4 linked regions of the Caenorhabditis elegans genome follow. The protein of the gene in region 1 purifies or fractionates together with the protein of each later gene. This does not show direct contact. Each region holds a gene or a part of one and is shown in the gene's direction. Other genes may lie near its edges.

The links.
Region 2: the proteins of mut-16 (region 1) and mut-7 purify together in Caenorhabditis elegans (affinity purification with western blotting; 2 studies listed by BioGRID, with this or other methods). This does not show direct contact.
Region 3: the proteins of mut-16 (region 1) and rrf-1 purify together in Caenorhabditis elegans (affinity purification with western blotting; 2 studies listed by BioGRID, with this or other methods). This does not show direct contact.
Region 4: the proteins of mut-16 (region 1) and mut-15 purify together in Caenorhabditis elegans (affinity purification with western blotting; 2 studies listed by BioGRID, with this or other methods). This does not show direct contact.

What each region holds. Positions count from the first base shown.
Region 1 is NC_003279.8:10,077,675-10,086,979, forward strand, and holds mut-16 (MUTator), read left to right. Parts: upstream 1-2,484; 5' UTR 2,485-2,487; coding exon 2,488-2,727; intron 2,728-2,771; coding exon 2,772-2,894; intron 2,895-2,935; coding exon 2,936-3,115; intron 3,116-3,161; coding exon 3,162-3,286; intron 3,287-3,738; coding exon 3,739-4,130; intron 4,131-4,180; coding exon 4,181-4,303; intron 4,304-4,348; coding exon 4,349-4,461; intron 4,462-4,541; coding exon 4,542-4,971; intron 4,972-5,170; coding exon 5,171-5,479; intron 5,480-5,529; coding exon 5,530-5,590; intron 5,591-5,640; coding exon 5,641-5,713; intron 5,714-6,248; coding exon 6,249-6,367; intron 6,368-6,675; coding exon 6,676-7,399; intron 7,400-7,692; coding exon 7,693-7,845; 3' UTR 7,846-8,034; downstream 8,035-9,305. Other genes in the region: scpl-1 (CTD small phosphatase-like protein 1), read right to left, coding at 8,860-8,934, 9,114-9,194, 9,277-9,305.
Region 2 is NC_003281.10:9,537,900-9,545,025, reverse strand, and holds mut-7 (Exonuclease mut-7), read left to right. Parts: upstream 1-2,645; 5' UTR 2,646-2,670; coding exon 2,671-2,860; intron 2,861-2,931; coding exon 2,932-3,748; intron 3,749-3,795; coding exon 3,796-3,933; intron 3,934-3,981; coding exon 3,982-4,176; intron 4,177-4,224; coding exon 4,225-4,926; intron 4,927-4,976; coding exon 4,977-5,362; intron 5,363-5,414; coding exon 5,415-5,541; intron 5,542-5,592; coding exon 5,593-5,770; 3' UTR 5,771-5,995; downstream 5,996-7,126. Other genes in the region: ZK1098.9 (uncharacterized protein), read right to left, coding at 1-69, 434-575; eif-2Balpha (Translation initiation factor eIF2B subunit alpha), read right to left, coding at 745-897, 946-1,147, 1,207-1,388, 1,452-1,717, 1,770-1,884; ZK1098.3 (uncharacterized protein), read left to right, coding at 6,328-6,420, 6,885-7,126. UniProt on the Caenorhabditis elegans protein: Represses the transposition of Tc1, Tc3, Tc4, and Tc5, perhaps by degrading transposon-specific messages.
Region 3 is NC_003279.8:7,643,223-7,652,287, reverse strand, and holds rrf-1 (RNA-directed RNA polymerase), read left to right. Parts: upstream 1-2,510; 5' UTR 2,511-2,520; coding exon 2,521-2,628; intron 2,629-2,722; coding exon 2,723-2,881; intron 2,882-2,931; coding exon 2,932-3,252; intron 3,253-3,327; coding exon 3,328-3,450; intron 3,451-3,498; coding exon 3,499-3,642; intron 3,643-3,720; coding exon 3,721-3,900; intron 3,901-3,961; coding exon 3,962-4,228; intron 4,229-4,276; coding exon 4,277-4,819; intron 4,820-4,896; coding exon 4,897-5,076; intron 5,077-5,120; coding exon 5,121-5,483; intron 5,484-5,533; coding exon 5,534-5,645; intron 5,646-5,692; coding exon 5,693-6,150; intron 6,151-6,205; coding exon 6,206-6,407; intron 6,408-6,452; coding exon 6,453-6,724; intron 6,725-6,769; coding exon 6,770-6,949; intron 6,950-7,001; coding exon 7,002-7,137; intron 7,138-7,189; coding exon 7,190-7,716; intron 7,717-8,020; coding exon 8,021-8,270; intron 8,271-8,320; coding exon 8,321-8,440; intron 8,441-8,487; and 3 more. Other genes in the region: ego-1 (RNA-directed RNA polymerase), read left to right, coding at 40-219, 268-406, 454-983, 1,033-1,402, 1,455-1,621; ncbp-2 (Nuclear cap-binding protein subunit 2), read left to right, coding at 9,047-9,065.
Region 4 is NC_003283.11:14,999,835-15,006,223, forward strand, and holds mut-15 (MUTator), read left to right. Parts: upstream 1-2,708; 5' UTR 2,709-2,878; coding exon 2,879-2,915; intron 2,916-2,964; coding exon 2,965-3,032; intron 3,033-3,074; coding exon 3,075-3,120; intron 3,121-3,167; coding exon 3,168-3,240; intron 3,241-3,287; coding exon 3,288-3,456; intron 3,457-3,498; coding exon 3,499-3,974; intron 3,975-4,022; coding exon 4,023-4,146; intron 4,147-4,191; coding exon 4,192-4,297; intron 4,298-4,341; coding exon 4,342-4,471; intron 4,472-4,524; coding exon 4,525-4,795; intron 4,796-4,849; coding exon 4,850-4,975; 3' UTR 4,976-5,233; downstream 5,234-6,389. Other genes in the region: T01C3.11 (uncharacterized protein), read left to right, coding at 31-157; rps-16 (Small ribosomal subunit protein uS9), read right to left, coding at 225-509, 554-703; fib-1 (rRNA 2'-O-methyltransferase fibrillarin), read right to left, coding at 934-1,217, 1,265-1,815, 1,863-2,046, 2,095-2,134; Protein hrde-2, read left to right, coding at 5,285-5,408, 5,454-5,653, 5,703-5,905, 5,959-6,349.

The sequences.
Region 1 (9,305 bases):
CTTCCTATGTTTCTTTCCGTGTTCTCAACAGGGGTGTAATAAGCTTCAAGTGTCTAATAAAACGATTCGAAACAGATTTCCTTTGCATATTTTATTTGTCTGTCACAAAAAAAACATGAATGAAAAAAAAAACAAAAAAGACCCAAACATGCAATAAGAGGAGGTAATTAACGGAGGAGTAGAATTTGTGGTTGTTACACTCAAATGTATTGAAACTTTCCCGAAAAAACCAAATTTCATATACTGAGATATCTCATAAAAATTTAATGTAAATTATCACTTTTCCAAATGACGAGTTCGACACAAAATTCGATGAATACCAAGGTTGCAAGTTGTCCATCATTTCTCTCAATATCATATCCATCTGTACAATCGAGTTCTTCCATTTTGTATCTGAATATTATTTTTCGATGTTTACAAATTTTTGGATTTCGTATTTGGGTAATTTTTATAGCTAACCAGCCGCAACCCTAAAATACGACTATAATACCCCGACGGCGCCAGATCCGCTTCGTACATTTAACGCTAATTCTCTTACTTCGTCTTTAACTAGGAAATTACAAGAATATACGATGAATGTACGAATGGGGGAGATTGAAAATCTTCGCAAAGTCTGTGAATGTGCTATGAAGCGATTTGCCGATAGCAAGTTAGAAGCTTTCTTCTGGATAAGAAGAAACCTCTGCTCAACTGTTATTGGACGATCTCAACATAGTCACAGATTGTATTGTTAGAATAAAAAATAAAATACTGTTAACATTGCATGACTGATCGGTTTTTTCGACGTGGAATCAGTTCTAAGCTGTTCGCTCACAAATCCCTGATACAAATTCCAATCATTTTGAAATAAAAATGCTTTAAAATTTCACTGTTCATTCCTAGATTGCAAACTTTTGGGTGACGTAGGTTCTTTGGAGACAAAGTGTCCAAAGTGACAAAGGATCCAGTAGACAAAATGGGGTGTATCTTGGGGCCAAGGATCAATGGTACCAACCTTTTTTCAACTAGTTTCTTATATGTATTTTTCAGCTAATTTTTGTTTATATTTCACTGGAAAAAGTTTTTTTAATGCACTTTCCATAGGATTTTCGGTCATAATTCGCTCAGATAAACTTGTAAATGTCCTTTCCGATCGATTTATTCACTCGATTAGTCGTTGAATGTATATGGTGAGTGAGATTATGCGATGCTCAAAATGAATTTTCAATTTTCCCGCCGATACAGAAACTAATTTTGATTAAGGAACATTGTGGTGAGTGCGCGTCTGGTCCCGACGCGAAATTAATTTTAATGCTTTGAAACTTTTTTCTAATATTTTCGTTAAAAATTAAGGTTTATAGCCTTCAAAAATTATATATGGTCTTCAATAATTTTTTATTAAAGCTTTCAAATATTTAAATCTGAAATCTTAACCAAATTTTAAAACTACATACGATTTAATTTGAAATCATACACGTGAAATGAGTGTGACCGTAGTAGAAGCGCCGCTTTGTTTGAGTTGTATTTGAAAAATGTATTTTCTCCTTTTCAACTTTTAAAACTGCGATTTACTTCACCATATTCGTTATTTCTTTTCGTTTTCAAAGTAATTATTGTTTAGCTATTCAAAAAATTACTAAAAAGCGATAAAATTCGAAACAGAAGGTGTTAATTAACATGTTAATTGATCCTTTTGTGGCCTAAAAATAAACTATTTACCGATACACTTTCATAATAGTTCTTTCGGAAAATTAAAGTACTTTTTTGTCGATCGGTTTGAGAAAATGTGCCGGTGAATTTGATTTTATATATATATTTTTCAATTTTAAAAGCCAGTTTATCGTATACAAACAAATTTCTGTTATGTTTTAATGAAGCGACTGTTCATTAGTTTAAAAAACATGCCGATTTAGATGATTTTTTAGTTTCAAAACGTTTTCTTCAATTCTAATACTTGTTTTCGATAGAAATTCAACTTTTCCTGAACGCAATGCAATCGCGCTCTATCGACGTTTCAATGAATAACCGTCAATCATCTGCTTGCCGATCGAATATTTAGAACGCGTTTTATTGCTCCTTAACATTTTTTATCATTATTTCAATTGAAAAAACCATTTAAACAGTTTTCCAATCAGTTTGTTTCAAAATTGCCTTCCAGATCGAATTTCATTTAAATCTCAAGCACTGGAAATTGAAGAACAAGCTTCCGAATTCAAAAACAAAACAAAATATTAACTGTTAAAAATCTTTATAATCTATGATTATTGTTTATTGCAGACTTATCGGCTCAAAATGAAATGAATTAACGCAACAGTGCACGACTTGAAGTTTTAGCTATTATATATATTATTGAGAGACCTTATTACAAATTTCGCTTGTTTGTCCCAGAATCGTAATACTTCCTGGAATAGAAAGTTTTCTTTAATGCCTCTAGCAAATTATCGTTTACTTCTCATTTATTGCCGTTCAAACGTTTCAACCCACTCAAATACTCGATATTTGCAGAAAATGTCCGAAAGTGATGATGATTATCCGGAATTAGACATCTCCGATCAATATATCGATCCATTGGGGATCGTTGTTGGTCCACCACCCGCCTCGTATACGGAAACTGATCGTGAAGAAACTCCCATGCAAAATCGAACTGAAGATGACACTAATAGCTATGGAAATTCATCGGGTGAACATGACTACGATAGTTATTTGGATTCAGGAGACGATGACTTTGACGTGGATGCCTACTATGCGGTAAGATTCGTGTTCGTATATTTCAATTTTATTTTCTGATTCAGAATGACAATATGGATGAACCTCCACCAGAAACGATACCGGACAATCTTATACAAAACGTCATCGGAAGAAATGATAACGCCGATTATGATTTCAGCGATGCAAGTAATCCAGAAATCATGAAGGTATTTAAATACTTATATGATCTCGTGACCTAATGGTTTAGCGTGATCTTCAGCTGTTCCTGAGCTCTTCATTGCTGAGCAATCCATTGAAATTCCGTTCTGGATACTCCTCGGATGAATTGGATGATTGTTTGAAATCTTGTATGGGATACAGTCTTCAAGTAACAGCTGTTTTATTGCTTCCTCCAGAAATTATTTCTCAGCTTCCAAACGATTCCAAGGTAAATTACAATGTGCATAGGGAGACTATAACTTAATTGTTTTCAGACCGAACACGCCCATGCACTTGTACGAGGAGGTTGGCTGCAGTCCAAAGAGGGCGCATTCTTTCCAGTCATTTCCGATTCAGAACGTGAGACTGTTGTTTCGTTGATGAATGGATCCGAAGAACAGTGCGTTTTTTTTGTCACGAAAAGCTCTGAACGACTCGAAATAAGGCACCGGCGATCAGAGAGACGCTATTACAGGCTTTTTTTGTGGAAATTTTTATGTGAATTATTGTTAAAAACAGCAATTAATTTGTTTTTTGCACTGAAACCCCGTCATAATTGCTCTCGTAAATCGATATAATTCCCTATGTTCATGGAATAATCGAATTTGAATTATTTTATTCTTGTTTTGAACATATTTTTTCAAAATCAATAGCGAAATTGCTCAAATTCCATTTTTTTTAATCGAATGACTATTGTGCCGATTCACGAGAGAAATTAAGAAAATATTTCAGTACAAAAAAAAAAAATATATAAGTTAAATATTTCTGAGCTCTCCTTGCCAAATCACCACAAAAAAAACACAGTCTCTTCGATCGGTGGTGTTTCCTCGAAATGGCGTATAAAATTTGCAGGCACAAACGCCAGGAAAGGAAGAAAAAGGAAGCAGATACATTTGAATCCGAAGAGAAGGAAATTCGTACTCTACTCACATTCAACATGATTGCGGAATTGTTAATGGCTGTCAGAAATGAATATAGCATTCGTTCAGTTAAATATCAAATTCTTTCAACTGCTTATACAAATATGGTTACTGGTGCGGCACATGCGAATATTTTTCGAAAATATAAGGATATTCTTCAACTCGATCCAGAAAAACTGTGGAATAATGATTGGTTCAAAGAGTATACAAATCGAGGAACACTGAAGAAGTTTCTAACAACTGCAAGATTTTCTGAAATTGTGGTTTCACAAGCCAACGGCAAAACTGTAGAACTCTATTTTAGAGCTGACGATGAAGGAAACCGTGAGTAACTAAAAATATTTTCGATTTATTTTCAACGTTTGTTCATTCAGGACCAGTTGTTCTTTTCACTGATGAACATATTGCGGATGTTAGGAACAAATGGAAAACCGGCAATCAGAGAAATCAGAACTACGGAAGCCAAGGCAATTATAGGGCCGGTGGACAGAGATCAGGTACATTGCATTTTTTGTGATTATCTAAAAATCTTTCTTTTCTAGATGATCGTCGTGGTCCACAACAACGCAGAAATGTAATTGTACCAGATCCGAATTATCAACCATCGACTTTTGCTGGGGGCATTTCTAACAATGCAGATGATGATGGATCGTTGGTGAGTGCGATAAAAAAAACATTCATTATTCACAAAATTCTTTGTGTGCAATATAGAAATGAAATTTATGTGATTTTCAGCAACCAACAACTTCATCGCACTTTAATCGAAATACTGATCGGTCAACATCTCGTCCTCCACGTGCACCCACTTCTCCAGTCAATCGTGTGATGGAAACAGATCCACTAATGGGCCAAGGCACTTCGTCCGGAGCCCCTCAACGATCCGCGATTCCGAATCCATTTGGTGGAGCACCAGCTCTTAGCAGAAGCACAATCACCAATGGTAACCGTGGTCCTTCATATGGAGATCGTGGTGAGCGTGTTCAAGATGTCGGTGATACGACATCAGATAGTGAAATCACTTCTGAAGGATCCTACTCTGATGAAGATCCCGAGCAAAAGGAGATTAAGCGTCAAAGAAGAAAGGATAAACTTAAAAAGAAACAGGAAAGAGAACTAAGAAGTCGTGAGAAGCACACGAAGTCTAAGCAGCAACCTCCTTCGAAAAGTACGAATTTTATCATTTCCAAAGCGGAGTTTAGTGAATGGGGATGATGCTTCGTTTTTTTTCATTTTTCTATTGTGGTATTTCTGAACTTGAGACTATTTTAAATTTTTGAACTTTCAAACACCAACGATATTCCGCCTTACAAAAATTTTCCAAAATCACCAATTTGAACTATTAAATTTATGAAAATCTATTTCAGTTGAGACTCGATTCAATACGTACAAGAAAAAATCAGAATCATCTGCTACTGACACTTCCAATACACCTCCAGTTGACACTGTGAATGTAGCTCTCCCGACTCCAGTAGTAGAATCGTCTTCTACGACCGCAGCACCGTCAATCCCTGTTTCGACACGTCCTGAAGTCGTCGTTCCACCTGAGAATCCAGCTCCACTCAGAGAAGTCGGAAATTTCTACTCTAAATCGAATCACGACGAGGATAGACGCAATGTTCAACTTCCTTTCACACCAGCGGATACGCACAAACCGATTAAAGTTGCGCCAAAAGGTATTTTAAGCAGTTTAGGACTCGTCTTAATAGCCTAAAATCAGTTTCAGAGCCTGTACGGAATCCGCTTTTGAAAGAACGACCTTCAGCCAATGGTTTCATCAACAGAAGGTTCCTAGCTTTAAAATTTAATCTTTCAATTACCAAAAAAATTATTGCAGACTGCCATCACATCCAGCACCACCACCAGTCAACCAAAGTCAACCAGCCAATCAACCAATGCAAACAGCTGTGGTAATTTCATTTTTAATAATATTTTAAGTCTAAACATTCTATCCACACTTACGTTAGAAAAAATTGTTAGAAAAATCTAATGCCTCCGTGCATTTCTGTACCACTGAAATTTCATAGTGATCCAATTTTAATGACCGTAGTCTTGAGAACTTTGACTGTGTATCTACAACAAATATTTGAAAATTTGCGAAAAATTGTTCACATGATTACATTTTCGATCTATTTTTGCTGTTTTCGAAATAGTTTTGCTTCACAGTTCGGATAAAGTTGAGAGAAATGTGAAATTATAATTTATTGAGTTCTCTGGAAGACAGAAAAAATTAACAGAAAAACTGAAAGAAAACAGTATTGTTCACGTGAACAAGAATTGGGACATTCTTTTAAAAGACTGAAGATCTTTTCCATTAATTTATTGTCCAACACAGTCAGAAACTTTTCGAAGTGATGCGTTGGGTATTTGAACCATATTTCTTTAACCATGTTCGTTTTTTTCTCAAATCCTACAAGTTTGAAGTCATAATCATTATCTTTTCAGTATCAAAACTCTCATCCGGGTGCACCATATATCCCTCAACAGCCAACATATCAGCCACAGCTTCCTGTACAACAACCTCAACCACATCAATATGCGCCTCAACCAATACATCATCAACAGTAAGGATTATACTTAAAAATTCATTCCAAAAGTTAAATAAAGAACGCTCAAATGGACCCAAATCGAATTTTTTGATAAGATTTCGCAAAAATTTCCGAAATAAAAAAACTCTTTTTCGGTTAATAAATTCATAAATTTGACAATATTTTCAAGAAATTTGATATTATTTGACCATCTTTAAAAGTAATGTAAAACAATTCGCGTAATAATTGTAGTCTTGGGGTTTTCATGCAAGCAAAAGACATATCCTTTTTTGCTAAAATTGAGAAAAAAAAACAGAAAAATTCACAAAACTAACATTTTTCAGGCCAATCCACCAACCGATGCACGGCCAACAGTATCCGCCAGTTAATCAGCAGCAACCAATCTATCAACAACCGGCACCACAGTATCCACCATACAATTCAATTCAGAACAACCCTCAACATGGTCCTTCTCCATTTAATTATTCTCAAGTGCCACAACCTGCTTATAATCACGTTGGCCAACAACCATCACATATGAGCAATCAACCTCATATCAATCAAAATGGATATCAAAATTCGTACAATCCGAATCAGGGTCCGACTTCTTCCGATCCAAATTATGGATGTAATCCACAATTCAATCATTATGGCAGTAGATCAGTTTATCATGAAGATCATTCATCACAAAGAAGAAGATCACCTGATCAGTTTCCACCAAATCCTCCAGAATACGATCCACACGGAAACTTCAAACTTGCTGATTATGAAAGAGATCGAATGACAGTCGGATACAGTCAAAATCCACATCAATTTGACCATCACGGAAGTCATATGCCTCATCAGTCACAACCACAAGGATATGACAATTTTAACGGAAATTCTGCGCCGTACTTTAATAAAAACGGAGGACAATCAAACCATCAACCGGAAGCTCAAAGATCTTTTAGTGTTCTCTCTTCGAATCGTCAGCCATCGAACAGGGAATTAATATTTCAAGATGGAATTGAGAAGGAATTGAGAGATATAATTCTCCGTTATCGAAGCATGAACTTGACAGTATTGACAGTAAGTAGTAATTTTCGTTGAAAGTTTCAATTTGTTCTACGATGTGATATTAGTAATTATATAAAAAGTATTACGAGAAAATTTGATTGACACATACGAAAAAAATCTTTAAAAATAAAGAGTATTTTCAAATCATCTCTACACTATATTTTCGTATAATTAAAACAAGCTTTTTACTTCGAAAAATGCCATGTTTTTTCTTTCAAAAAGACTTCTTGATTAGAGTAACTGTACCAATTTTATGTTAAGTTTTTTTAATGAAAAGGTTTTCGTTAAAAGTGAATTATTTTCAGGTACAAGAACTGAGAACAGAAGTGAGCAGACGTCCTGCTATTCCTCGGTACATTGATATTGTCCAATATATTAGAGATTCTTCATCGGTTGCTATAGTGGAAAGAGGTGACATTGAGCCGTATGTCGTTTTGAAAGATGATATCCGAAACTAAGAATTTACTTGTTCCTATTACTGTTCCATTTTTATTTGTATTCACCCACTCGTCTCAATTTTTTCATTTTTTCTAAACCCATGTTTTTTTTTTTTAATTTTCGTTCTTATTGACTGCCTACTGATTATTACCTGTTTTTTCATACTTGAATCGCCAAACTTTCCTAATTAATATTTTTACGAGTCCAAATTTGTGTTTTAATATTTATAAAAAGTAGAAGAACCGGGAGTCAACTGATAATAATAATACTGCACGAATATTGGTGGTGACGGTGACAATTCAAAACAGGGATACGTGTCTCTGGGAAAGGGATGAAGGGAAAACTCGGGTTGAAAATTGGAACGAAGGCACTGGATGGAGGATGAGGGATGCACGTTTTCAGTATTTGGGGGTGATTGCTTCAGAATTGGCAACTTTTTGAATCTAATTACTGTTTTCCTTTTCTTTGGAATTTCAGAAATATTAGATTCAAAAAGAGAAAATAGCTCGTATTTACAGCATAATTATACTAAAACGAATGACAAAGTGCAACTACGTAGGGGAAAAATACAAGAAAACACAAAATGACAAATTTTGCAAATTTTGGTGAAACTATTTTGGAGAAAAATGTTGTCCAAAAAAGGATACACACTACGACGGTTTTGAAACTAAAATTTTTCTTTTTTGGAAACACTAATAAGGGGCAATAATTTGATATTAAAAGATCACAATTCGGATGAGAATGATGATGATGCGATGGGGGGGGGGGGGGGGGGGACTGTGGAGAATTTAACTGGTAAAAAAGGAAAACAAAGAAGGGCAAGTGGGACAGAAAAAATCCAATTAGAAATCTGAGAGAAAATGGGAAGAGAGTGGGGAATCCTGAGTGGATATGTATTTTCATTCGAATTTATTTCGGAAAGATTTGGATTTTTATTTGGGAAAAGGCAATTATAGTACTTTTGTGATTTGAGCTACGACGACGTCTCGAACAAGAAAACAGCTACTTTGTGAATTTATGATATGACGTATTAATTAGCAAGAGCAGTGATTCAGAAGCTCGGATTGTGGTCCTTCTTCTGGTCGATACAGATCATAGATGCTTGAGAACTGAAAAATGTTATTTTTACTTTTAAATTAGGCGATTTTGAAAGAGTTTTTCAAAATAATTTTGAATTTCCAGTATATTCAGTATTCAGTCACTTTTTCTTAACAAAAACTTGCCCAATTAATTCTCATAGAAAATTTTGGCCAATAAATAGTTTTCAAAAAAAAAATTAAATCCAAACCCCGTTTAAGTGCTCCAAAGATGGAAGAATATCCAAAAGCTCTGTATCTGAAGGATCATCAAACCACGTCGTCACTGGTACCTGAAATAAAATAAAATTTTGAATTATAGTTGAAGTTATCGTGGAAAAAAATTGGAAAAATGAAAAACTACAGTATCCTTACCGCATTTTCAGGATGGAATGCATAACTGG
Region 2 (7,126 bases), on another chromosome or scaffold:
ATCCTCCACATTCTTCTTTGATCGTTTGCATTCCTTCGATACCGTTCAGTTTTTTCATGTCTTCTTTGCCTGAAAATGTGCAAATTTTTATTCTTCAGCATTACTATATTATCCAGATAATTTTGCGATTTTCGTCATGCTAATACGATACCCGGTCTCGATACGGCAAAGTTTTTGATAGATCCAAAGAGGTGTGCGCCTTTAAAGAGTACTGTAATTTCAGATTTTCGTTGTTATGGAATTTGCATCGATTTTTCATAGTTTCAGATAAATAAATAAATATTTAAATATCGAAAAACTAATAAAAGTCTAAAAATTCGAAGTACAGTACACTTTAAAGGCACACACCTTTCAGAATTTAACAATTGTAGCGTCGAGACCGGGAACCGTACTTTCTGGGTAAAAATTGCACAATTTCGCAACAAAAACTAACCTGCAGGTTTACAAACCGCACTTTTTGAATGAAGAACTGTCAGAATCACGAACACGATTGTAGTGATGATTCCGATACCTCCGAAGACAGCCGAAACTATCATTAGCATGCTAGATGGCAAAATAAAGTGCTTTTCACTCATCTTTTTGATGAATGAGCGTTTTTAAAAACTCGAAATGAATAGTTTTGGGTTCCACGTTATTTTTTATTTTTGTAAAAGAAAAAAACCAATCATAATTATAAAAAACAAAACAAGAACAAATTAATTTAATTTGATTGAATTAAATACACGTTCAAATAAATTTCTACCCTCAGATATACATTTTAATGAGTTCTTCTCCAACAGCTTCAGGCTTCATTGCGCCGACATCAGTAATGATCAGTGTCAGAAATTCGGGTGCGGTGTAATCCACATCGGGATGCTCCAATTCTAGGTTGTTTCTCTCAATTACTGATGTTCGATACTGAAATAATGAAAGATCTGATTGAGTTATTTGATATAAATTGATTACTTTGAATTCTTGGGGAATATCGGCCTGGTTGAGTGGGAACTCCCGTACAAACTTGATAGTTTCAGCGCAAACATAGACGGGAACATGCCGTGATTTTGCGATGATACAAACATTAACAGTTCCAATTTTATTGATGATTCCACCGGTTTCCATGACTCCTTCAGCGCCAACTAGAACTGCTTGAATTCTTTCCATGACATATCTTAAAAAATAAAAAATGTATATACGTTTTTCTTATTGTTTTTTATAATTTCCACTCACCCCACACAGCTATCTAGAACTAAAGTAGTTGGAACTCCATTCTTTTTCAATTCTTCAAACACTAGTTTTCCTGAAGCATCCGGTTGCGATTCGGTGACCCAGACATGAAGGTGATATCCACTTTTGTGAGCATCAAGAATAGTTTCCAGAACCACTTTGCTGTATGAGTGTGTCAGAATATTCTAGAAAATACAAAGATTAAAATACATTAAATAGGAATTATTTAAATAGAAAAAAAAACGTACCATATGATGAGTGAAAAATAGACGAGCGCACTTGGAAATTTTGGCTCGAGAACCTCTGACATTCTTTATAAATGAGCGTGCTCGTTGGCGATACAGATCAAGAACTTGAGAAAAATCTTCTTGATCGAGAAGAGCAGCTGGAGCCAGAGAAGTGAATCTGGTGAACAAATCAGCGGCACTTCGAATTGATGTTGAGCTGTAGTCCGTTTTCTCGAGAGCAGCAACTACTTGATTTAGCTCATTTTGAAATTCGGCAACGGTGGTGGCTGTAATTAAGCAAAAAATTAATTGCCTAAATATTCAAATTCAGGAACTTACCGCGACTCCGGTCTAAAACCTCGAGCAGTGTTTCCACTGTGGCTAGACTCGTTGATTTGCTTGGATCGTTTTCAAGTTTTCCACGGAAAGATGAAATAATGCTTTCTTGAACCATGTTAGATGGAAAAAGTCTGCAAAAACAATAATGGAGAACGTTTGTCGTAGAAAGAAGAAATATTTATAGAAAAAATTTAATGAAAAAATAATGATGTAAACGCGCTCTATCGTTACGCAGAGAAGATAAGAGTTAGAGAGTTAGACAGTTTTGATAGTGGCAAATTTAAAAACAAAACATTTTTTTACTTATGTATTTAAAAGGTTTCGTGAAATTTAATTTATTTTCTCAATCTCGAATAAACATTTTAAACATATTTTTTGAGTCAGTCAGTTTACTTTCTACTCTCAACTATTTACGCATCTAAAATCTCCCATTGTGTGGCGAACTAAATAGGATAATAAATAATAATTTTCCTTTTCGAAACTTTTATACTATAATTAATTCCCTCAATTTGCTCCATAATCTCCATTAATTTTCCTCGTGTAATTGCTTCGTAGATCATTTGAATCGCCGCCGTGATACAGTACTATTCGCTAACCTGCACATCTTAAATACCATCGACAATTTTTTAAAAATTCATTTTCCATTTTGTTCATTGATTTCTTGGTTCTTTTTCCATTATTTTTGCCTCAATTTGTGCAAAAAGTGCTGGATATCGAATAATCCACAACGCTTTTCTGTTGTTCTTTCGGTTTTTGGGCCGTTTCTAGATTTTCCTCTCCGTAATACGAATTCTCGTGGGGAAACACGTTTTCCTTGTTCTTTGATTAATTTCTTTTGTACTAACTTTTCGACAAATATTTATTTATACTTTTTACAGAATCAAGCTTGTCCGTTTCGAAAATGGAAGAAGAACCGTACAAAAGAAAGCTAACGAAAGCCGAGAAAAAGGCAAAATATCGAACAGACTACGCCGAACCGTTGAAGTCACGCCGGGAAGTTCTGAAAGCAATTATGAATGGACCCGAGTCTGAGCGGGAGAGAAAAGTTCGAGCCAAAAATCGAGAATTTTTCAACGAGGACTATAGATCAGGTAAACATTTTAAAGTTCTTTTATTATTAAAAACTTTAAAAAACCCTCATTCATAATCTATACATTTAAAGGAGTCAACATCTACGGAATGGCTGTGGATATGATGAAAGCGATGCCGGATAGAGGAAAAACATCGGGACAAAGTTTGGCGGTTTGGTATCTGGAGGATTTTGGAGTTTGGTTAAAAGAGTCGGGACAGGAGACGGAGCTCAGACAGAAATATCTGACTGGAACTATTCAAATAAACGCCTTAGATGTGTGCACAATTGGACAAAAGCAGCTTCTCAGTGAAATCTTCGATATCACCAAAGAGAAATTCACTGAGGACATTACACAGTTGCTAGATGCTGCCATCAAGAAACAAGACTTCTCCGTTGCTGCAGATATGGCTATTCAGTACAATCTTCTACGGGATCATCATTTCGAACATCTTGTTCTTCCATTAATGCTATCTGGCAAAGATCAAACGGCTTATAAATTGATAAGTAACAATGAGAGGATGCAACAGCAGCTTGTAGAGTTTTTTGATCGAATGGTTGGAATCTCAGTGGTTGCCGTTGAAGAGATGCTGAAACCCTACAAGGAAACCAAAATTATGACGATTCCTATGGAGAAATTGACGGGAAAAACGTTGGACAAACTCATTTCGACGATTATCAACAAAAATACTCACGAATACAACTTCTCCAGGGAATTGTCGAAGTTCGCCAAAAACCACTCACAGAATGGGAATCTGAAGGCATTGAAGTTTAATATCAGTGAACGATACGAGAAGGGAAAATCCGATGACAACTATTTCCAGCATATGGTTGAAACTTTTACCAAAGCCGAAGATGTTCGTGAACCTATTTTGTTTTACTTGTGGAGCTCAAATGACACCGAGAAACAGTAAGTGACATTCAAAAAGATTTTTCTTTCTAAAATTCAATTTTCAGAATAGATGCCATCTGCTTTGCTATCTACTTAGGAATCGCTAGTTCCAGCAGCTATCAACTGCCGAATGTTATGAGGGACTTCTTTCGACAACCTGATTCGAAGCTCAGAGAAGCAAAAGAACTTCTAGTGAGAAGAAAGTAATTGTTTTCGATTTCTTCGACTTTTTTAAAACCATTTTTGTTCAGAACACTGCAAGTTCCTCTAAATGGCGAACAATTATTCGTATTTGAGAATGAGCGAAGAACTCAAATCCACATGGTGAAAACTGAATCTGAGATGAATTACTTATGTTCCGAGATCAAATCACTAAGCGACGAGCCAGCACCTGTTTACGTTGGATTCGATTCTGAGTGGAAACCGTCGAATCTTACAGCTGTTCAGTAAGTGAACAATTTCATTCTTAAAATTCCATATGCACCGATTTTCAGTGACTCGAAAATTGCTATCATACAATTGTTCTTCAAAAATTGTGTATGGCTTGTGGATTGCGTAGAATTAGAAAAGGCAAATATGGCAGATGACTGGTGGCAAAAGTTCGCATCTCGATTGTTCGGAGATTCTCCTGTAAAAGTCGTAGGATTTGATATGAGGAACGATCTGGATGCAATGGCTACAATCCCAGCACTGAAGTCATCCATGAAGATAGAAGATACCAAAAATGCATTCGATCTGAAGCGATTAGCAGAGAATGTTTGCGATATCGACATGGAAATTTTAGAGCTGCCAAAGAAGACTTTCAAATTGGCAGATTTGACACATTATCTACTGGGATTGGAGCTCGACAAAACTGAACAATGCAGTAACTGGCAATGTCGTCCTCTGCGAAAAAAACAAATTGTGTACGCAGCATTGGACGCAGTTGTCGTGGTGGAAACATTCAAGAAAATCTTGTCGATTGTAGAGGAGAAAAACAAGGACGCAGATATCGAGAAGATTGTCAGAGAATCAAATGTAATGGCTCCGAAAAAAGACAAAGGACACAAATCGTACCGCAAGCTGAAAACTATTCCATGGCTTGAGCTCTACGATATCTTGCGAAGCCATCGTAATCCTACGAGATCACCACAGCGACCACACGACATTAAAGTTATTGTTGACACAATGCTGATTGGATTTGGAAAGAATCTGAGGTTTGAAGTTTATCTTTAAAAAATGTTAAAGTTGAAAATTTTTATTTCAGGAGAGTTGGAATTGATGTTATTCTTCCAAAAGACGTGAGCGACTTCCGAAAGTACCTGAAGGAAATTGAACGAGTTGGCGGCGAGCATCTACGTCATATAATCACAGTGCCATCGAAAAGTTACGAAGCCTTGAAAATGGATTATGATAATTATACAATTGCAATTCCGGAACTCAATAACATGTCTCCCGTAGATCAGCTTATTGAGTTTTTCGACCTGTTCAACGTAGATATTCGTCCGGAAGACGTATATCCTCGATGCACTGAATGCAATTCTCGGCTTCAAATTAAATTCCCCGGACCAGTTTTACATTTCTTGCACCAATACTGTGTCATCCATGTGCAAAATGTTTATCGTGCGGATATGAGCGAATTTCCACTGGAAGGTTAGTTTATTTCTCGCTTGCGGTCAACATGGAAATTTATTTTTACTTATAGAATGGTGGAATCGTATGCTTCATATCAATCCAGACGACTACGACGGAGTAAAAGTGGAAATGTCGCGACCATCTCCAACAAGCAAGTGGATCGTGGCAACTGTTCCCACAGGATGCCTACATATTACGTAAGAAATTTATCCTTTAATATTATTAAAACCTAATTTGGCTTTATTTAGGCGACAAACTGCACTTCACACCAATCTGCCAGATGGAATTGAAGTTCGAATCCACAAAGTGCCTGATGACGAGTTCAAGCGTCGAAATCTCAGCTTCTATGTGTGTGGAGAATGCGGTACGGTGGCTTGTGATGGTCGTGGCAATCAAGCGTCGGAGAGCACCAGCCAGGAATGTTGAATTCGAAATCCCGTTCCCCTTCTCGTTTTAAACTTGTACCATTTTTCTTATTTTTTCCTATCCACATTTTGTGTCCTGCATGTAATATCACCTCGTCCCGGTAATAGTTCTAAGTTTATCTAGTTTTATTCTCCCTGTTCAACGGTTTTTAATATTCAATACTTATTCTGTTAATATTTTTGCCTCATCTGGCATTATTCATTTCAAATGAATATTTTGTTGTTTATTTGTTATTTTCCTGAGATGCACCGCTACATCGCGCTACGACGATCGATATATTCTAGGTCGTAAATAGAGTCATAGAAAAGAAAGAAACGCAGGATGAGAGAGAGGTGGAAGAGCGGGAACACATTCAATTGATTCTTCTTTACTTTTGTAAATGAATTTTTCGTGCTTATTTTAAATGTTTAGTTTAATAGTGACTCTTCTTTAAATTCAAAACTTTCTCCAATTTTTGAGAAAAGTGATTAACATGTTCATTTCGCAAGGCTCTACAATTTTAAATTCTTTTTTTTTTCATAAATTTGAATTATTAGATATAAAAATCTTTTTTTAAGATGGGAGATACAACATCATCGGAAGATGTTCCGGAAAATAAGCAAAAATCACTGAAGTTTGAGATTATTGATGCAAGAATGAAGATTTTCAAAGTAGGCTTCTTTTCATTCAATGAGGGACCCTAATTTTTAGTTTTGAACCACAAATACGGTAGCGGGTCTCGAAACAACCGATACTTGGCAGCTACCGTACCGCTGTCACAATTCGTAAAATAAATTCGAAAGTTCAGCGCCGTAAATCTACATCAGTGCTCGGGTCGTCATTTGAATAATTGTGTACGAGATATTTTGAGCGTCAGATCTGTCTGCAGACATATGTTGCACTATGCGCATTCTCAGATTTTAGTATTCCTATAATATAATTGTTGAACTAATTATAATACTTGGTTGCCTTCAACTTTTTATCAATCGGATATTCTCTTTCGCGGGATTGCAAATGTTATTAGTCGAGTAAAGTATTAATTCAAATGAGCACATCTTCGGAAATACATTAAAAAAGATAAAGTCATTCACAAATCAAGATGATACGGCACCTAGTTTTATTTGAATTTTTTCAGGATATAGTCAAAAGTAAATCAAGTGAATCAGTGAAGGAGGAACAAATATATCAGAAGTCTCTGGAATTCTTTGATGAAGATCTCAAAAGTTCAGAAGAGTCTGTTTCCAATGAAGAAATTAAAACGGGTTCGGAAAAAGAATTAGAACCATTGAATGTTTTTGATATAATTCTGATTATGCTACAACAACTTCCGGAGCGAAAGAAACCCATTGGATCGCTTTTATCAAAATGGATTCTGAT
Region 3 (9,065 bases), 2.4 Mb from region 1:
TTTAGGAGAAATAGTTGAAAGATGACCATGTTTTTTCAGTCAATGATGGAAAACTATGGAATCAAAACAGAAGGTGAAGTCTTCTCAGGATGCATTGTTGACATGCGAAACAGAATTTCGGATAAGGATCAAGATGATATGTCATTCTTCAACACAAACCAGATGATCGAGACGAAATTGACAAATTTGTTCAAGAAATACCGAGAGATATTTTTTGAAGTAAAGCTTTCCTAAGCCAGTTACATATGTGTACATGCGTAATTTCAGGAATTCGAAGGCGGCTGGGAAGGTAACACAGAAGCATTCTCTCGTTACGGACGTGATAGTAATATTCTTCAACGACAATGTCGTGCTCCGACAGTGCAGATGATGAAAAAGGCCGTAGCTTGGTACAGAGCTTGCTATGGTTAGTTGGATAACTTGAAATAAAAATAAATACTATTTTAATTTCAGAGGAAGCTCGAATAACTCGAGAAAACAAGAAATTGTCGTTCGCTTGGCTCGCATATGACGTCATCGCAAAAGTGAAACAAGACAAAAGTCTTACAAGTGACGAAGTTAAGATGGGTGGAGCAAATCCATTGTACACAATGCTTGACGACCACAGATCTCAGTATCTTGTCGATAACTCGAGAAAATTCGAAGCTTTTCGACAATTTTCAACACCTAAAACTAGTGGAGAACAAGTGAAACGAGCTCATAGAATCATCAAAATGTACACAGAAACTTATCCAGGATTGGATGCAGTCTTATTCATGTTAGACGAATGGGCACGGATTTCAAATCTATTTGAAAATCAATCACTTCGAGAATATCATTTATCACTGCTATTTATCCTGTTTGCTACAAGGCAATTTTCTTCCGTTGATGGAAATGCTGCCAAGTTCTTCAATAAGGTCGATGAGAAAAGTTACAAGCAGAGTAAAACAATTGGAGACTTTGAGCCCAGTTTATATATTGAGGAAAAAGGAAAAAGTCAGATGGTGAGAAGAATATTTGTGTTATTTTTTTTATAATAATGACTGTTTTCAGATGGTGAAGTTTCTCGAATTTTTGGCCTCGCGAAAGTTCCGAAAAATGGCGAATCTCTCATTCTGTGCTCTTGATTTCTCATCAATTTTCATGCGAGGAGAATGGCAAATTTTCCATTTGGCCGCACTCAAAACCTACTACAACGTGTTATTCAATTTACGATTCGAAGAACTTCCTGTGTCAACTGATCCAACAACTACAGTTCGTTCAATAATTCGAGAAAACGAACCGTTCGTGATTGAATTACCAGCCAATTGTGATCGTTCATTGGTTCATCGCAAGCTGGTAGAGCATACTGGTGTAAAAGAGATATTCATGCGAAACATGGAGAAATCAGTTCGCTCTTCGGATGATGTGCAAAAAATCAATAGTGAGTTAACAAAATCGAATGGTAAACAGATTTAATTTTCAAATTATTATAGTGCGTCTTCTGGTTTCTACACGTGGAACTCTCGAGTCAATGTACAAGTTGCGTCAACTGGTTGCTGTAAAAGTTCCCATCAAAACGTACGTAACGGGACAAGATGTGTCTACACAGATGGCTCGATTGTGCTATGAAAAGATTGTCAGAGGACACATCAACATCTAGAATGTTTCTCTTATTCGTTTTTAGCAGTGTTTTCAGAGATTTTAAATGTTTAATATGGTTTTCATTTTAAATTTTATTTTTCTGTTTTTTTTTTGCATGTTTTAATTGGCATGCTTATTTCTGTTTCTTTTTCTCATTATATTTTCCTGTTGTTTCTTTTGCTGATTGATTGAAATGGATAGGTTTCTCCTTCTTTTCATCGTTTTCAGCGTTTCGGTTATCTGTTTCAATGAATTGTCTGTTTTATTACGAATCCGATATTTGTATTTTATTTGTTATATGCGTTTTTTCGTACATGATTTTCCTATTGGATAGAATATAGCCAGATTTCTTGAAAAATTGAAATGCTGTCGATTTTGTTTGAATTTTGGACCAAACTATCGAACTTTTTTCCTTCTCGACTGAAATCAACATTTTTGAAATGCAGTTGTTTTTGATCAGAAAAATTTTAAAACATTTTAAATATACAACTTTTTAAAGGTGCTCAATTTTCCGAGATGAAATTAAATTTCTTTATTATTAGAAAATAGTTTTAAATGAGTTTCCGTAAATAAAATTACGGAATAATAATCACGATACTTGCTCACTGTTGCATTGTCACCACAGTGTCTTTTTCAGCTGTCTGCGTCTCCGACGGGCAGCGTCTTTTTCAGTGAACCGATTTTTGCATTTCAGCGGGTTGTTAACTTTCAAAAAATGTTTTTGTAAATTTCAAAGTGAAGGTTAATGAGAACCTAATTTATAGTTATTTTTAGTTGTATAACAGTAAAAATTTAAATATCCAATTGATCGATGGCAAATTTAAAAAATCTTTATTTTTGTTTGTCTTCCATAAAACCTTGTTTTTCGTGCGTTGGCCATTAAAATTTATCTGTATAAAATTTTTCAGACTCCTCGTCATGTCGGAACGAAGTCATGGATTCATTAAATTTGAATTTCCGGAATTCGATAACTCGCTTCAAGTCATCGAAGGAAGTATCGATACAATGTTACTGACATTTACTTCAGTGCGTCATGGTTTTGAGAATTTTAATTCATTTTTTGGACATTTTTCGATTAAAAAAATGACGCTTGTTTTAATAATTATTATGATATTTCTAGGTTCTTCGTAAATACGAAATCGAAATCAAATCCCGTCAAGAAACTCAAATTGTTGAAGAACAGGACTGCGATTGCTTCTTTGAAATAAACTTTGAAGTTGAGAGCGAACAGTTTGATCACACAATTATAGATGCTATGCACGATTATTTATCAGATTTGGTGAGTACTTGAATTCATATTGGACGATTTCGAATTAATTTTATTTTCAGAATGTGTACGTTCCGTATCAGCGGCCTAACATTGTCCTTCATGGTTCCGATTTTTGGTTGAGAACTCTCGATTGTCACACAGAGATTCCACTTGCTGCGATTTATTTTGGAAATATACAAGGAGGCACATATTTCAATCATTGGCAGGTTTCATTTTCACGCGAAAACATATCGTCAAGAGATATGTTGCATAAGATACACGCCGAATTTGAATTCGATAAAACTGATATGATAACAGTACAATTTCAATGTTTCGAGGAGAAGAAACAGAAGTTTGAGGATTCGAGGAAACAAAAAGTTCGAGTGAACTATCAATTAACAGTAAGTGTTTAGCTGTAGCTATCAAATCCAATACTGGGAGAATTTCTTAAAATTTAATTAAATTCAAAAATTCAGATTCGAAGGGATTCAATTCGTCGAATTATTGTCGATCCACGAGTTGAAGGATGCAACACATGTGTTCATTTTGAAGTTAATTGTCCCCCACTCATCAGGAAAGGATATATTGATAATGATAAGGTAATTTAATATTGATCACAGATTTTTATAACAATTCTAATTGTTTAGTCATCGTTTCATAAACCCTTCTATGAGCGTCAGAAACGGTTCGATTGTGATTGGAGAAATGGAAATGTTAATCATGGTAATCCACAAGATGCTGCCATCGCAGATAGTCCTTTCTTCACAATTGAGTTCCATAAAGAAATATCAGTGAGCTATTTTCTACTGTTTTATGATAGATTTTGATGATTAAGCATCGTTTTTTATTATTATTATTCTCTAATTCAGACAAAAGAAATGTATCGTGTGTTGTCTCGTCTGAGGTCTCGAACCAAAGTTCTGATTGAATTTGCGAATCTTCCGAGCATTGATGTTCCGATGGGCAGTCACTATCCATACAACCGGTGGAATTTGAAGAAATCGCCGACCGACTCAAATGCGCCCATTTTTAGAGAGTTTCTGAAAGAGGTGAGTTAGTCTTTAAAAAAACAAAGAATTGCCTCAATAATCTGAGTATCAATTTTTGCAGATATTCCCACCGAAATATGAAATAGTAGATGATAAATTGATTGATGTTAATGAGGAACGGAAGTTTTCTATCACATATTTGATTGAATGTCTGTTGTCACGGGGAGCTATTGTGAAAGATCAACTACTACTGAATGAGCAACATTGGAAAAATTTCCTGGAAATTATCATTTGGTACTACAGGAATGATAATCAACTGTGTGAAGCTGCCTTGGAAGATCTCGTTCATTTAATTGATGGTAGAAAGCGAATCGGATCAATTTTGAAGGTTGTGTTTTTTGCATATTTTTTGATAATTTTTTTAAAAATTTTTCAGTGCCTAGATAAAATTTGCCAAAAACGTGAGGTTATGAAACTGGTTAATGGTTTAACAGAAAAGGAGAGCATAGAAGGATATCAACGAGTTCGAAAAGTTATCTTCACACCTACGAGAGTCATCTACATTGCACCAGAGACGATCATGGGAAATCGAGTTCTACGGAAATTCGATAAAGATGGCACCCGGGTGCTTAGAGTAACATTTCGAGATGATAATAATAAGAAAATGAGATCAAATGTTACGGGTAAACTTCTCGACAGGACGGCGAACAAGTATTTGGAGCACGGAGTTCGAATTGCAAATCGTGAATATGGTTTCTTGGGATGCTCAAATTCACAAATGAGAGACAATGGAGCATATTTCATGATGAGATTCACAGACAAGCAGCTTGATCGCTTCTACAAATGTAATCCGACAGCATCGAATATAAACTTCAAGCCGAAAATCGACGAAGTTCGATTTCAATTAGGAAGATTCTCGGAAATTGAAAATGTTCCTAAGTTGATGGCGAGATTGGGTCAATGCTTCACTCAGAGCAGGGTATGTTTTTAATTTTTATTCAGTTTCATGGATTTTTTAGTGATAACTTTCCATCATAATACAAGTATGAATTTCAGCTAACCGGTGTCGGACTTGGACGAGATGATTACTGTAGCACGTACGATTTGACTGGTGGACGAGCGACAAACGGAAGCGAGTATACATTTTCTGACGGAGTTGGAATGATGAGCTATCAATTTGCACAGGAAGTATCCCAAGCGATGCAATTTGGAAAAGCTGTTCCTAGCTGCTTCCAGGTAAATTAATTTCGTGTGAACTTAGGTAACTATAGTTTTTGCAGATTCGATTCCGCGGAAATAAAGGAGTCATCGCTATTGAACCCTTTCTGGATGAAATTCGTAAATGGGCACTTGTGAACGGTGTTACTTCGATGAAAATGGCGAAATGTTTGTTCCGTCCAAGTCAAATTAAATTCCAAGCTAAGGCTATTTCGGGAGACCAAATCGAAATGGTAAAGTTCTCGTCAGCGGTATTGGTTGCTCTCAATAAACCATTCATCAATATTCTTGATCAAGTTTCCGAAATGCAATCGTTGGATTGTCATAAAAGAATTACGAGCAGAATTGAGGAATTGATGGATCGTCAGATCTTGTCATTTGCCAAACAGATGAATGAGGAGACCTTTTGTAGAAACAAATTAAAGGTTTGTCTGAAACATGAAATAATGAAACTTTTTATTTGGAACTCTTTCAGGAGTTTCCACGTCGTATTGATATTGATAACTTGAGAACAATGTGGGGATTTACATTGTCTAGTGAGCCATTCTTCCGTTCCCTAATCAAGGCATCCATCAAGTTCTCAATCAGTGAGTTTTCCGAATTGTTTTCAATTTCTCAATTTTATTATTTTCAGCGAAACAGCTTTGCAAAGAGCAAATTCAAATTCCCAGTGAACTTGGTCGATCTATGCTCGGAGTAGTTGATGAAACTGGACGTTTACAATACGGACAAATCTTCGTTCAATACACGAAAAATTACAAGAAAAAACTTCCACCGCGAGATTCCAACAATAAAGTTCATGGAAGTGAGATTGTCACAGGAACCGTTTTGCTCACTAAAAACCCTTGTATTGTCCCCGGAGATGTTCGGATTTTCGAGGCTGTCGATATTCCAGAACTTCATCACATGTGTGATGTAGTAGTATTCCCACAACATGGACCGAGGCCTCATCCTGATGAAATGGCTGGATCCGATTTGGATGGAGATGAATATTCTGTTATTTGGGATCAGGAATTACTTCTTGAAAGAAATGAAGAACCTTTCGATTTTGCTGTTGAAAAGATTAAAGTACCATATGATAGAGAGAAGCTTGTTAGTTTTTTTTTGTTCATTTTTTTTTTAAACTTTGGTGTAATATCAAATTTAGGACGTCTTGATGCGTGAGTTTTATGTCACATATCTGAAATTAGACTCCGTTGGACAAATCTCGAACAGTCATCTTCACAATTCTGACCAATATGGGCTGAATTCGAGAGTTTGTATGGATTTGGCAAAGAAGAATTGCCAAGCTGTTGATTTCACAAAGTCTGGACAACCACCAGATCCATTGGAAACGAAATGGAGGGCCGGTACGTATGCGTATTCATGAATATGGTGTAACTACCTATTTTCAGATCCCGTAACATTCGAAGTTATCCCTCCTGAAAATCCTGAGCGAATTCCTGACTTTCATATGGGAAATGAACGAAGTCCGATGTATGTCAGTCCAAGGCTTTGTGGAAAACTATTCCGAGAGTTTCAAGCAATTGACAATGTTATCAAGATCTCTGAAGAAAGGGATGAACAATATAATATTGAACTGGATGAGACTATCTTTGTTACTGGTTTTGAGAGATATATGGAAAGTGCTCAAAAACAATTATCCAGTTACAACGGACAACTCAGGGTTAGTTTGAAGGCTGAGTAAAGTTTAAATACCCAAATTTTACAGTCTATTATGGAAAACTACGGTATCCGGTCGGAAGGTGAAATCATGTCAGGATGCATTGTCGAAATGAGAAATCGAATTTCGGATAAAGACCAAGATGATATGTCATTCTACAACACTAATCAAATGATTGAAACAAAAATGACATCTTTAGTGTGCAAATTCAGAGAAACGTTCTTCGAGGTACAGTTTATTTCAATATTTATTTATTTTTTAATTTCTATGCCATTATCAGGAATTTGGTGGATTCACAGTAAAATGTACACTTTTACCAAATGCTTACGATAACGGCAACTGTCTCAATTACCGTTGCGAAGATCCAGATCAGGAGGTCAGAAAGAAAGCTGTTGCCTGGTATCGAGCTTGTTACGGTAATTCAATTTTTTTGTTTCAATTTTTTGAACTATTGTAATTTCTTTGTAGAGTGTGCTCAATCCACGAGAGAAGTTCGGAAGCTTTCATTTGCTTGGATTGCATATGACGTCATTGCCAAAGTCAAGGAGACTAATGTATTGAATAACGAAAGAATGCAGATTGGTGGAGCAAATCCCATGTACACTTTCCTAGAAGAGCATCGAAAACAATATTTGATTGATCACGATGCGGATTTCAAGAACTTCTGTGAACTCGATCATCTAATTACCGGTGAAAAATCAAAAGAAGCGATTTCCATTCTGAAAATATATCTGGAGATGATACCAGGGTTGGACTCTGTGTTCTTCATGTTAATGCGATGGGGAGAATCATTACGATTGTTTGATGGAAAACCAATCAAGATTTATCACTTTTTCCTCATGTTCATTCTTTTTGCAACACGACAATTGGCATCTGCTGATGGAAATGCAGAACCGTTTTTCAAAATAATTGAAAAAGAAGAATATGAGAAACAGAAAAGAGATTCATCGAGAGGCAATATCGATCCACTTACTGAAAAAAAAAGATCAGATATGGTAAGGAATAAGGGGGTCATCGAACATCGTCGATTTTTCGATTTCTTCGAAAAAGTATGAAAAAAGAAGAGAAACCTTTGAATTTTGTCTATAAACATCTATATTTTGATAACAAAAATAAAAAATTCATTGAAATATATAGAGAAATTATAGGAAATTGTAGAAAAGTTGAAATTTTACCGAATATAAAACAAAAAAAACTTGAATTTTCGATTCATCAAAGTTGACATAAGTCCATTCAGCTGTATGATTTGTAGTCCAACATTGGCGAGAAATTCAAAGCCGAATTGTGTATTTTTTTCAGATGGTCAAATTCTTCCAATTTATGGGATGTCGGAAGTTCAGAAAAATGTCGACTTTATCCTTTTGTCCTCTCAACTTCTCATCGATTTTTATGCGTGGAGAATGGCGAATATTCCATGAATCAGCTCTCAAAACCTACTACAATATTCTGTTTAATCTACGTTTTGAAGAGCTTCCAGTATCATCTGATCCAACAATTACAGCTGAGACGATGGATCGAGAGTGTGAACCATTTGTTATCGAGTTACCCGGTATGTAAAATCTTTTGGAAATAAAAAAAATTGAGTTTTTTTTCATTTAGAAAATATAAATGTGAATGATCTGATCAATAATATGAAGAAACACACAAATGTTTCAACTGTAAAGATGCGGCGACAGGAGAAAAATCCGATAAACGATAAGGCGAAACCAAAGACTACAGGTAATTAAAAACTCTTCATATTGGTAGCATAAAATAATTGTTTTCAGTTCGTTACATCGTCTCCGTCTCCGGAACTCTCGAATCAATTCAAATGCTCAAAAAGCTTTCAGCAGTTACAATTCCAATCAAAAGTCATTGGGAAGGAGAAGAAGTATCACAACAGATGGCATCTCTTTGCTATCAAAAAGTTATGAATGGTGAATTTTAATCTCGTATTTTTGTTGAAATATGCCATAGACTCTGTTAATGTTTTTTCTTCACTTACATTTTCAAACCTTGTACTATTTTTTCTGTTTTATTTATTTTTAATTCCTTCTACCATTTGTATTTGTGTGTAAACTGACCAATTCCATCATCAAATGATTGATTAATAATTTTAAAATATTTTCTCCGTGGTATAAAACATTTATTTATTTTAGATTTTCGTTTCGTAATCGATATTCCCAATGTTATTTCGTTATCCAATATCTGCTAAATGAGGGTTGATAAAATCCAAATTCAAATAACCTCGGGTTTCAGTTAAACAACACGCGCTACGACACTCCGTTCTCTTTTCGAATTTTGTTCGCTGAAGAGTGTGTCTGTTTCTTCGTTCTTTCTTTTAAAATGGTCTTCGATCCAAGAA
Region 4 (6,389 bases), on another chromosome or scaffold:
TACCATACCAGAATAAGATTGAATTTTAAGCTCTAAACCAATACAACAATTCGAAGTTGCCTACACGAGAAAAACTAAACACTCAAGATTGGACCTCATCGCCGGAATACTATTCATTTTTGTCCTTGATATGCTTTTGCTCAGCTTCACTTTCTAAATCTTTTTAAATTCGATCTCATAAATCTTTTTTTTCAATAACAATTTTATTGTGCAACAAAAAGAATTTAACGGTAAGACTTCTGGTAGCGAGCGCGGGCTCCTGGTCCACCGAACTTCTTGGACTCACGGCGTCTTGGGTCAGCAACCAAAAGGGACTTGTCGTAAGCGGCGAAGATGTTCTTCAATTCTCTCTTGCTCTGCTCGTCAACGTACTTGTGGTAGTAGGCAACGAGAGCCTTGGCAAGGGCTTGACGGACAGCGTAGATCTGGGCAACGTGTCCTCCACCGCTAACACGGATTCTGATGTCGACATCCTGGAAGCGTTCCTTTCCGACGAGGAGAAGTGGCTCCTGAAAAATACAAGTTAGTTGGAATTTAATGTCGGAACAAAAACCTGAAGCTTGATGCGCAGGATCTGTGGCTCCAAGAACTCAAGTGGGCGACCGTTGACCTTGATAAGTCCTTGTCCCTTTTTGCAGTGAGCGACAGCGGTGGCAGTCTTCTTGCGCCCGAAGGTCTGAACCGATTGCACGGTAGACGTCATTACCCTGTAATAATATATTAAACAAAGAACAAAATAAAGGTTACAATTAAAGTAGAATAGAAATATCGGCAAGGTTGAGAACCAAGTAAAGATAAAAGTAAAACATCCCTAACATGACAGCATCAACAACATTTTATTGGGAAACAAGTAAAACAAGTGTTAACGATCAAGATGGAGGTATACATGTAACAAAATAACAAAACAAAAAAATGTAACGATGATTTTGGAGATCAGACCTTCTTTCCCTTGACTGGGCGGTAGACAGCAACCACGACAGCGTGGTCTCTCTCATACGGCTCCAGGGTTACCTGCTCAAGTGGCTTGAACTTCTCCTCCTTCAGCTTGTTGACTTCACCAGCAAATACAGCCTCGGGCTCAGCAGTACTGTCAATGCAATTAGCTTTGATAGAGATGACGGCATGTCCACCGTTGCGAAGGAAGTTTTGGGCATTGAGAGCAACAATACGAGCTTGATCTGGCTGAGCAACATCAGAAAAGATGACATCGACCATTCCTGTAATATAAATATTAAACACAAAAATGCTTAAATTTAATACTTACCGACAAGCATGCGGTACTTGTGTGGATGTCTGGCATCTTCGACAATTGGGACAACGTTTGGTCTCTTCTTGGCAACTCCCAAAAGGTCACGTCCAGATCTGTGAGAGAACTCAACAGCATAAACGATTCCTTCTGGTCCAACGACGTCAGAACAATGGGAAACAGTAGTTCCAGAAGCAGCTCCGAGATAGAGAAGTTTGGTTCCTGGCTTGATGTGAGTGTTCTCCAATCCTCCCATGATGGAAGCAGCGAGCTTAGAACGGAATGGATTCCACACACGGTACTCGATTGAGCCAGCTCCGTCATCGACGGACACTCTCTTCTCTCCGTACACGGACTCTCCCACAACCATGTTCTTTGTGGCAAGAGCATCTTCCTTTCCTTTCACGATGAATACTCCACCGAGACGATGTGGTTCGACAACGACAGTCTTTCCTCCTCGCATTCCACCGGCTCCTCCGCGTCCACCACGTGGTGATCCTCTTCCGCCTCTTGGAGATCCACGTCCTCCGAATCCTCCTCTTGGTGATCCACGGCCACCAAAACCACCTCTGAAAAATTATCGTTTTGATGGCGAACAGAATTATAAAACACAAACCGATCACCACCGCCTCTTCCTCCACGGAAACCACCGCGGTCTCCACCTCCGCGTCCTCCTCTGAAGCCTCCGCGATCACCTCCACCGAAACTGCCACGATCACCTCCGCCATATCCTCCACGACCACCGCCTCCAAATCCACCTCTGCTACCACCACGGTCTCCACCGCGTCCACCTCGGAAACCTGAAAAATAATATTTATAATACGAAAAAATCCTGAAATTCAGTTTACCTCCGCCGCCGCCGCCACGATTGAACTCTGGACGTCCCATACTACAAAAATCGATTATTTAACAAAAACGAAAAGCGAAATTACGAAAAATACATACCTCAGCCGTGGGAGAGCCGAGTAAGATTGAGAATTATCCCATTTCACTTAGAGTCATGGATTTAAATCACGCTCCAGTCGATCTGAATCGACTAGAATCATCCACTATTCTCAAATCTACTCTTAAAATCCAAGAAAAATTGAGAAGAAACGAACATTTCAGGCAAAAAATGACGAAAAAAAATTTGGGCGAACCAAAAAATTACGAAAATGGAGAAGACATTGGAGGGAACTACGGTGGAAAATGGCAATCGCTGCGAGACCTGCACAGTGGAGCGCACTTGCCACACAACCGACACTTTATCGATTCGCAAGCAAACAGCTCGCGTAGAACGAAATCAGGCAATTGTAGGCGGGGCTTTGTTCTAAAATTGAAAATCAAAGCGATATGAAAGGTGGTTTTGATTGAAATATGCAAAAACGTCAAGCAAAAAAACAGGTTTTAAATTATGATACTAATCATGGCTTCGAAAAAAGGTTGAAAACTTGATAGATGTTTCACGTTTCGTTGTCTCAGAAACCAGAATATTCCGGCCGATGTTTTGAACGCAGCGAAACCGATTCCCATTCTGTTTATCGATTGCTGGAGCGAGTCGAGCATTGAAAAACACTCCGGAGTTGTTCAGATATCGCGCACGGGTTTAAATAACAGGATTTGAATGGAAGTATTTAGATAAGTATCAAAGAAATGGATAACTCCAATGGAATCGGCATATGTAGCATGGGTGACAATTTTTGATGAGCTAAATGGGATATTTATTTTATTCATTTCAGGTGTCGTGAATGCTTTTGATCTTGATGGATTGGGCAATGCAAGGAGATCATGTTTTTCGGTCAAAGAAGTTGAGATTAATGAATGACTGCAATTATTTCATGTTTTCCAGGCTCGAGCGCATAACCCAGAGTGGGGACCGGCAGCTTCAAGAGAAGGTTTGAAATATCATACTAAAGATACCATCGAAATTAATACTTTGAAGAAGTAGCGTATGTGAGATCGTCTGAAACCGGGTCGCTGCAAATAACGAGGAAGCTGATGAAGTTTTCAATCAGGTCATTCGATCCCGTCGTTAATTCTGAAAATACATTCATATTTTCAGTGGCCGCCGAGGCTACAGTCCATGGAGAACATTGCAAGATGCTTTATATTGCAGTCTCGGGCGTTTTCACAACGGCGAACATTTGTTTTGCATTCATTCAGGCCCAAATCACGAGTTTTACTACGGACAACCCATCTTGCACTCCATCGACAGATTTCGTTCGCATAGGGTTAGCCAAGCTAGTGGAAGTGATAACTGATTCTAATTTCAGAAACCGTTTCCGCGATGCATTATTATAACTACAGACGGTAAACGCTCGAAATCTGTAATGAGAGGCCTACTCAACAAGAGAAGAAGTTCTAATTCCACTCGTCCAAATACACATATAACAAATCTAGACACAACTGAGCTGTCAAATGAATTCATGACATCGAATAGATCTAGAGTTTTCATTGGTTCATTCAAAAAAATCAAAGAGTATATCGATAAGCTGAAGAATGAAATGGAACAGTTGGATGATTTTATATCTGTTCTACGTTTTGTTATCATTAATAATGCCGAGAAGTTGAAGGGGAACAGTGAGTTTGCCGACTCACTCGGACGTCTCGCTCAAACTTTTGAAAGTTCTTTGACACGATTCATCTTCGCGTATCATTTCTCAAGTTCAGTTGCCTCGTTAACCGAAACACTCGAGTTTTGCAAAGGTAAAATGGAAAGACCTGTGCTCATTGAAGCTGATAATCCGAGGTTCGAGCAATATTCGCAAAATTTGTGCTATTCTTAGAATGTTTCCAGAGTTCGTGATGTATTTTCCAATATCGAATGCAAGTTGGTACGTCCTATCAGTGAAATTGCTAGTCTACTTCCGACCCAGGAGAGCACACTTGAGAATAATAATATAAGTCCCGCAATTGTCTCGGTAACTACTGAGTCTAAATTTTGAATTAATCTTTCATTCTTTCAGCAATATTTGACCGAATCAACACAAAAACTGAAGATACTAACCATGTTGATCAAAAAAGAAAGAGATGCAAGAGCGGCAGATAACGGTAGATCTGGACGGAGAGACAGTGAGTTGATATGAACTATAAACTCGGTATAAAATTTTTCTCAGAACCCCGCCGTGAACGCATTCTCGTCATAACACGAACGACGGAAACATGTATTCGTGTGATGATGTACCTGAGGCTGAAAATGCAAACTTTAGCTGTGAACCTTCGTTATAATATTCATAAAATTACAACGTATGTTCAATTCTAAATAGTGTCCTTTTTATTCCATATTTATTTTTTTGCAGATGCGACTCCGAAGAAGATGTGGAAAAACGAAACTTTGAGTTTCGCACGGGTAATCTCGATGTGCTTGTGATCGACTGGAGATCAATTCGCGCTGTTCACCGAGGCGCCGTCGACACTATCGTTATGTTTGATTCTCCGCATCCACTATATTTTCAAACAATTATGGAGACGGAGTTGCAGAACCTCGCTTCGATTATTGGAGTGAAACTGAAGTTATACATGATTATCGACCAGAATAAGGACTTTCGCCTCGTTCGCGAATATTTAAAGGTTCTTTTTCTTTCTCAAAATCGAAAGATTCAAACAATCATGATAATTTTTCAGTTTCTCGAATGCAACAAAACACGAGCGCCCACGTGGTTCCGCGATCTTTACCAAAAATACCTGGCGGATCGACAATCGAGAACAACTGCAGCTGTTGCAACTGCAACATCAGCTGTTCCTGTTTAAATATGTATTTTTCTTCCAACTTCTCAAAAATTATTTTCCCCATCTTTGTGCTGATTTATTTGTTTCTTTCCGTCCCATTCACACGATTCTTAATTTTACTGGTTTTAAACTTTTTGTATTTTGTTTTTTTTTGTAACATACAATGTTTTTTGAATTCGTGTTTCATATTTCTTGTTTTGAATCCTATGGTTACAGCTTCATTCAATTTATCTTTCAATATCTTATATGACCTATTTTAAATAATCATTTTTGATGATTTTTCGAATACTTTATTTATTTTGCAGTTTTACAGATTAATAGACGGGAAGTATGTCGCAGAACAGCGACACTTTTGATTCTGGACTCCAGATGGAAGTTCACAAGATGGCGGAAGCCGATAATTCGTCCGTTCAACAAAAATTCGATGCGATTCGCGATTATATTGGACGAAAAGGTATTTAAACCATTTTTTAAAATTAAAAATCTAGTTCTTTTCTAGAGACAACGATTATCCTCTGTGAGCACGACGATTCTCGCAAGATTAAGCTGACGCTGAACAAGCAGAGAATGGAATCGTCTATGTTTCTGACAGAAATGCCCGATGGTGGGATTCAAGAAAAGACAAAGTTCCATCGCAATGGACTCGCAGTTTGCAGCTACAATGCATTTGATGAAGTTGATTTGCCACTCGCGGACTCGGTATAACCTCTAAAAATCAGTAATTAGAAAGCAATCAACATATTTACAGTATATTTTCTACGGACTCCCGTCCAACGTGGAAGCTTTCCCGAGGATGCTCCATGGAATTGAAAAGTCGGCACACAAGGAAAACAAAATAGTTTTCATCGATATTGTCGTGTCGATTTTAGAGAAAATTCAAATTAAGGTCGTCAGCTTTGAACTTTACAATCGAAAGTGTACTGTGCCAACGTGGGTTGCTGAACTCGTCATGTAAGCTAAAAGAAAGATAATCGAGAAATTCACAATAAATCATTTGATTTCAGAACTTATTGTGCGCCAATTGAGGAACAGCAACAGCGTATTGAGGAAATCCGCCGAACTCGTGCTTCAGTTCCAGTTGCCATATCGGACGCAGCCAACGGATCTGCCGAGATGGTCCCTTCCAACACCACTGGATCTTCAGGATCGCCCATGTCGACCGCTCCAGTACCAGCCGCAAAGAAAGAGAAGGTCCAGTACGAAAGTATTCGTCAAATTCGCCCGAACGCCCAAGGAAGATACTTCGTTCCGGCAAGAATGATCAATATGGATATCGAAATGAGCAACGATGAGTACTCGCCGGATGAGAGCGAGAACGACGAGAATGAATATGACTACGAAAATGCTGCGCGTTACGATGATGGTTACGACGAAGGCCACGAATACTGCCAATAATTTCCCAAACCCAAAGCACATTTTATCCCCATTTTTACGG